2 linked regions of the Lepisosteus oculatus genome follow. The protein of the gene in region 1 interacts with the protein of each later gene in a pairwise test. Links are inferred from orthologs where the notes say so. Each region holds a gene or a part of one and is shown on either strand. Other genes may lie near its edges.

Evidence for each region. The genes of interacting proteins can lie anywhere in the genome.
Region 2: the proteins of c6h5orf22 (region 1) and elof1 interact in binary tests that used the Homo sapiens proteins (3 or more experiments, as listed by UniProt). The two-hybrid records come from large-scale screens. The link is inferred for Lepisosteus oculatus from reciprocal best matches to the Homo sapiens genes C5orf22 and ELOF1.

What each region holds. Positions count from the first base shown.
Region 1 is NC_090701.1:6,469,959-6,473,711, forward strand, and holds the start of c6h5orf22 (UPF0489 protein C5orf22 homolog), read right to left. Parts: upstream 2,478-3,753; 5' UTR 2,296-2,477; coding exon 2,224-2,295; intron 1,720-2,223; coding exon 1,574-1,719; intron 114-1,573; coding exon 1-113.
Region 2 is NC_090706.1:17,279,460-17,283,212, reverse strand, and holds the start of elof1 (transcription elongation factor 1 homolog), read right to left. Parts: upstream 2,388-3,753; 5' UTR 2,286-2,387; intron 2,152-2,285; exon of another isoform or gene 2,035-2,151; intron 1,866-2,034; exon of another isoform or gene 1,524-1,865; intron 874-1,523; 5' UTR 867-873; coding exon 751-866; intron 288-750; coding exon 217-287; intron 1-216. UniProt on the Homo sapiens protein: Factor involved in transcription-coupled nucleotide excision repair (TC-NER), a mechanism that rapidly removes RNA polymerase II-blocking lesions from the transcribed strand of active genes.

The sequences.
Region 1 (3,753 bases):
TATTGTGCTCCCCCTCTGTAATCTGTTGTGCCCAGGAAGGGTGAAGCCATAGGACATTAGATAAATGCCCTGCATACACCATGGGCATAATCCAATTCTCAATACTTAGCTCACTGGAAAGATATTAAAATATCAGATAATGTTTAAGACTAAAATTCAAGGGGACAGATTAATGGCTTTTTTCCCCTAAGAATTTATGCCTACTTATTACAGAGCTCCTCGGGTCGTGGCAAACATTACTGAACTACAGACTCCAGCAAACAAAATATATCAGGTATTATAACTCAGCTTTAAACGTTAAAAGCTTTGTGGAAAGAAAGTCATGAAATACAAAATACTTGAATGCACTTAATTCAATACCGTGAAACAAAAATGAAATTGTTATTTGAAATGAGTCATTGAAAAAAATCCGATATAGACCCCTTAGTCTTCTGCTACAGTCGCCAAGTTGTGGTAGCGATAGAAATAAAGTGGGAGAGTACTAAGAAAGCAGTGGCATTTAAAAAAAACAGCAAAGATTAGAAAGGAATGTCTTATTTTACTTTCTTGCTAGAATTCTTCGAACAGGTGATGAACATAGTAGAGAAGCCTTGATTTAAAAGGGTCAGGTAGAGGTTCATTCGCTGCTAAAAGGTAGGGAAAGAAAAACAACACTTGGTCTGTGGAGCCTTCTTCAGGTGTGAAGGAGGGAGAGAAAGTACAGTAGCAGATCAATATGGCATAGCAGGACAAAACAACAGAGTAGGTGAAAGGGACGGGGAGCAGTTGGGAAATGGGCATAAAGCAGGTGAGAATGAAACTAGAGGATAACAGGATGAGAGGTGTGGAAAGCCTAAATGATTAATTTAGTAGCAAACAGTACAAAATATTTAGATATCCAGAAAGATTTTATAAAGAGACTTATACAAATTCATGAACTACACAGACACAAGGCTAATTTCATTTAAAATTAATATTAATATGTGCAAGCAATTGACACTTCTTAAAAGGAACACACTATTTAACTTAATATTGCATGGGTGATTCGGTCCCACAGCAAGCTAAAAGCAGAGCGGCAGGGTGGCGCAGTGGTAAGCATGACTGCCTCGTAGTGCTTGGGGTCCTGAGTTCAATTTTGAACCTGGGGTGCTATCGGCATGGAGTTTGTATGTTCTGCACGTGTTTGCGTGGGTTCCCTCTGGGTGTGACAGTTTCCTTCCAAGGGCATACTGGTAGGTTAATTGGCATCCAGGAAAATTGGCCCTAGATGTGAGTGTGCGTCCTGCGATGGACTGGCACCCAGTCCAAGATGTACCCTCCTTTGAGCCTGCTGCTTGCTGGGATAGGTTCTGGCTCTATGGAAACCCTGAATTGGAAGAAGCTGTTAGAAATTGGATAATGGGACACATGGACAGACAATCAGTGTTCGGATCAGGAGAGAAGAGACAGCGAGAGACATATGTTCTTTTTTTTTTTCCTCGCACAGCTATCAAACCACAGGTAAGATGTTCATGAAAAAACAACCATCATGTTCATTATCATGTTTGTTCCTGCAATCCTTTCAGAATATCTGTGACCAATGAACACATCTTACCTAAACAGCTCTTCTTTGTCGAACACGGTGTCAGCAGGCATGTTGACAGGAATAAGCAGGTCGGGGTGGGAATCTAAATGGATCATTTTGATGTTCTTTATAGGTAAATGTCTGGAGCCAATGGCGCGATAGATGTGAGGTAGCACCTGTATTAGAATAAAGTGCAGAGATTGCAATTGCGGTTTGTAAAACGAGCAACGTGATCTGTCAACTGTCGGCTTTCCCATAATTGTACTTTGTTACAACAGTGTAGCATTAATAGTACTGTTTATTCTTCGGGAAAATAGCTGGTAATGTCCAAAATGTATTTTTTTATTCGCATTTTATTTTTGTGAGGGTCTTAAACTATAACTATATATATATATTACATGAATTTACCCGGAACACTTACAGGATTGATTAAACAAAACTGACCACAGTTCGCAGTGTATATACATGAGGCTATAAATAGCATAAATACATATTGATGACAATATTCCTCTTTGTACAGTCTTCGGTATTCATTATACTACAGGGTTAAGACTGTATTTTACAATCAACTATTGCTTTCAATTTGCAATTCGTATTCTGAAAGCTGGATATATTAAGGCTGTAAGCAGGGAAAGGAAACGCAGACAATTAGATTAAAAAAAAGTGAAACTGGTACTCACATCATGATGATCTTCCACTATCCAGACGGGGACATCTTTATAAACTCTACTTGGCGCTTGAGTGGAATTCATACCACCTCCTCAAAAAAAAGAAAAAAGAAAAAACAAACCACTTGCTCTCTGCCTGCCTGCAGTTTATTTTAGCCTTGTTGACGGGGGACCCGTCTCAGTGTAACACACGCCGTTTCCTAGCCGCGATTGGTGGAGCTGTCCCGTCTCTGCAAGCGATTGGGCCGAAGTCGTCCGTCTCGGTCTTTTGCGCCGCGATGAAACACGTTGCCTTCACTTATGCTTCCCCGGTTGTTTAAATCTTAAAACATCTTTCCAGTTTCCCTTGTCTCATGAAGGCAGCGGCTAGATTTATGCGTTGCTAGGAATACATGGTACAGAGTCGAGAAGCTAAAAAACTGAAAAGCTGTTGTTTTAAAGTGATTGCGTGTTACAAACCGGAATATGCCAGTCGTCGCATCCGCTCAGAGGAAAGGAAGGCGAGCCGATATCAACAGGGATCATTTCCTGTTGAGATTATGGTGCTGAGCTTGAAGCGGCGATACACATGTAAAATGTAGGGTAATGACCAAACTTTTTATCTTGCTAGCAACAATTCTTTTAGGTAAATCGTTTTAACTCTTCTTGGAGACTGGCGATCGTTGTCTTTTGTTCTAAACATTTTATCGTTAAAGGTAAGTTTCTGTAACATGCAGCTTTGAATTTCTTTATACCGTTGTATGCTTTGGTAAAAAAAAAACGTAAAAAACGTGCAAGCGATAGGCTAGTTTGTCTCGGTTATATTAAGAACTGAACAGGCTACAATATCTCAGGCTACAATAATGTTTTTCCCCCCATGTTGTCAATTTGAACGAATTTATGTTATTTACCTATACAAGTCAGATGGTGCAGTCACGAAACACACAGCATTGTTGACGGTATTTTTATTTTATATATAAAAAAATCTTGCTCATAATTATTTATGGCGCTTTTAAACAGCAAATCATACTGATACACAACGATGCCGGACATCGGTAGCAGTCCCACACTTTAAATGGGCACGATGAAATACGTCAATATAGAAATCCAGCATCAACTTTTATTCTTTTTTTGCGTCGTATTTAACATACAGTATGCACTTCAGCCATTTAAACTTATAGACCACTTCATTGAAATATTTGATTGATTCGATGTTTAACCTTTTTTTTCGCATTTTGGCTAGAGACTCACATACGGGCAGCCTTTTGTGTGTCGTTTCCATGAATTACAGTGATACCATCACATCTTTGATGCCATACAGGATGTAGACTTAAATATGATCAGCTTTATGCCTGCCATTTCCACGAAATACAGTGATCAAAACTCCGTTTTAACTTGGTTTAAAACTGTTGCTCTCCCGTTGCTTTCTAAACAGCTCTTATTGTTTGTCAGTTAACAATGCGCAGACAGAATTGGGAATGATACTGTCAAGCACTCTGATTAAAAAAAAAAAAGAGGCATTCCTATTGCTGCGTAGGTCTGTTCATTAGGTTTAACCAAATA
Region 2 (3,753 bases), on another chromosome or scaffold:
CTAGTCTCCTAGCTTCGATCTCCGATTCAGTCATGATGCTACAATCTGTCAACCTGCTGATCAGGATAGGAGAACCGCTATCTACTCTAACTCCAGCTGGATTTAAAAGGTGGCAGAGTTTCTCTGCACTGGTGTATCCCGTGCAGACTGGCAAAAGAGACTATCCAGCTCCTGTAGAGCACAGAACAGACAGATGCAGGTGTTTGTAAAGGATACAGGTTATAGGGGTCTGGAACTCTTCTAAACAAACTGTACAGGATATGATCCCGGTGTTTCTACTTCGTTCCCTGTGACAGAGAGAAAAAAAATACAGATATCCAGAAGCATGCACACAGACAGAGCCCCCGAGAAGACATGTCTGTACATCTCCATTTAAGACACTGTTCTTCTCTACGAGGACACACTAGTACACTATTACACTCTTCGGTATATGAGATCCATCAACGTTAATTATTGACTGTCTCTCAATCAAGGGCAACCCCTTGGATTGTAGTGTCCTGACTTGTGAGCAAGAAGACTGTCAAAACATCTTGCTAAGTTGCTCCCCTGTTATGTGTACACATAACCTTTCCAAAGCTGCACGCAAGTACAAATTTCCTACCTTACCTCCAAGCTGCACCCAAAAAAAAGGGATGGTCTGAAGCATAATAAATACTTGCTCTAAAAATGATTCCTGACAAGTCATTCACTCAGGGACCCTATCTAAGACACTCTAGGACTGGGCCCCCCAGCAGTAATGCGGATCCTTACATTTTCACGTCACAGGACTTCTCGTGGTTGCAGAAGGGGCAGGTGAACTGAGTGTCCAGGTTTCCAGTCATCTTTTTCTTGGGAGGGGGCTTTCTCTTCGACTTGCGGCGGCCCATTTTCTACCTGGAGGGCGGAAAAGACAATCAGCATGCGAGGCTGAGCACAGGAAGTCCCAATCGGGGACAGCAGGAAGTGAGACAAGGCCAGTCCACAGAATCTCAGCATCTTTGGGCTTTTGTCCCAAGTCCATCAGGCGTTTAACCTGGTTTCTTACTTTGACTTTGTCTACAATTAAGTCTTAGCTTATTTTACTTTTAAGACTTGTTTTCTTTATTGAAAAAAATAAGTATTTTTAACAGCTGGGTGCTTCAAACACTTCAGTAAAGAAACTGTTCCCGCAAAACAGATCAGAGCCCAGTCAGAAGCACTGCAGGCAAAGAATTAATTTGACCATTTAGTAACTGGAAATAAGATGGGAGCCACGATTTAGGCTTGAGAAGAGCCGAATATCGGTTGGGCAATTTTTATACAGCAAAGGCAGGAACCCCACCAGCCTCAAACTTCCCTTATAACGACAATATCGGGGTTCCTAAACTCCCCATTTGCCAACCCCATTAACACAACACAATACATTAATGGTAGGCGAGATAAGTGGTCTCCCACGTTTTTTTTAGAACAGAGGAATTTATCAAATGATTCGCCTATACGTCAAGGCATAGATGAACCCCAGTTTTCTCTGGGCCCCATCATTAAACTATTGCACTCTTCAATACCTCTTTATCCATTACATCCTAGTTTTTCCCCCACGATGTTTTGAAAGAGAAGGGGATCATCTGGGAGATTTGTGACGCGTGGGTACACCCTGTATCCAGAACTGTGGAAGCACAACTTGAAAAGCGTGTCCTCTACTACCTACAAAACAGGGCGAAACTCGTTCTGCCTCAACACAGTAAGATACGGTTCGTGCTGTTGCAACCGATACTCCACGAACCCCAAAAGCGAAAAACGAAATCCGACTGAACCCAACAAAAAAAAACAGTTGTCCGGATATGACAAAGAATTTAACGACGGATTTATTGTATCTTCATGTTTCTACGCTCTACGTAATCGCCCGAGCTTCGTCTTTAAGTGTCTGCTAGGTAACCACAACGGAAGAAAAGCCTTGTAAATTGCGCTCATTTCAAAGATTAAACTGCAGTAACTCATTAAACATTTCAGCACTTTCCACAGGAGCTGTGCGACCTAACGACCATGTAGAATAATTTGAGCCATCGCATTACTTACCACTGAATAAGGAAACAACTGAATTGATAATTTCACTGAACAATTAATTGCTAAAGCTCATAATCTAAAACCGCTCACATGGTGTTTTTTATCTCGTCGTGAAGTCCCCAGCTGCGATTCTTTGGGGATCACATATTACTCACCCTCGTTCCCTAGTTTAGCTATTTACACTTTTTCGCTCTTTAATTAAACGCCGTGGTCGACGACAGCCATTTTTTAAAAACAATTAACGTAATTAAAAAAGTGATTACCTTATCACGTCTACCTAATCTTCCCAAACACACGCAGCCTCCACAAACAGGAAACTACATCTGATTCCGGAAGTCTTCGCCAAACCTTTAATCTGATTGGTCACCTTGGTAAAACCATCTGTGTTCTGATTGGCGCTTCGACCTGTCGATTATTTTGGATTCCTCTTCCCTTTTTGTTTTCCAGTGAAAACCTTCGCGCTGCTGGTTTCGAGAGCCGATTGCGACCTCAAGTGTTGATGTGGGTGATTGTTAACGGTGAACTTGCTTACTGTGTGTCTGGGATGTATAAAAGAAGCACTCAGGTCGTGGTCTCGCTTATGGGCTGCACATTATCCAGATGTTTGCTTCATCCACGATGTATATTATGCCTGGGAAACACGGCGTGCACAACAAGAATACGCTTTTTAGACTCGTTGAAAGTAAAACTATTACCTCCAGGGCATTGCTCCTGCTAAAAAATGTCGCTTTGCTGTACAATAGAGTTTGTCACTTGTATTAGTAATACAGTATTAGTAATCATCCCAGTAAAGGGTTTCTTATTTGTTTTGTAGCACAGCATATTCAGCTGTAGCATTTAAAAAAATATTATTCAAGCGTTAGTATGCCCTGTATATTGGAGCACAGAGTCAACAAACAAACTACATTTATCAGCAGGGTTTTAAGGAGCGCACTAACAAATCCATCGCTATTAAACGATGGTAAGAACAGAAGTTGATAGGCAAACGTTGCAGAGAGAGGAGACCATTCAGATCCATCTCGTTCATTGGGTTGCGCTAATTTATGAATCCAAGGCTCTCGCCCACAGAGACGATCCCTTTGAATCTGCTTCACCATCGTGGATGGGGCATTTGTTAATACTCCGCGATTAAGGGTCCAGCTGACTGAAATGTTTTCATAGTCTCGAATCAGTGCGGTTCAGTCAGCGTACTGGTCATCCCACCTCGTTACTAGTTTAATTTAACCAGTTTATCAACTTCTTCCCGCTTTCCAGGGGTTGTTGTATTTACGTACACAGACAGATTCTCCAGGACCGGAGCTAGACGACATTGACCTAAATTAAAGAACGTGGAGAAGCAAGAATAGTGAATTGTAATACTTCTGGAAACAAAGCCAAAGAAAAAACGTTTTGGAAAAGAGGAAGTCTGAGTCCTACGAGCCACCGTATGGCATACCTGAGGGGGACGTGTTTATGTATATTAAGAAATTTGTTTACGTGTATGATTGGCTCCTGTGAAGAACGGCTCTGTTTAATATTCAATCTAAAGAGATTTGATTCGTTAATGTTAGAAGGCGGCGGGGGGGTAAGGGTCCTATTGTTGAAGTAGGTGAGGGTGCGCGGGCACGACTCCTGCAGTTTAATGTCCAATTTATATCTTTAAAAGACTTCTGCCGACGAAAGAAAGACATTTTTATAAGTTTACAAAGGACTGGTAAGTATTCTGTTAAACTCAGTTGCTCCTTTATTTTA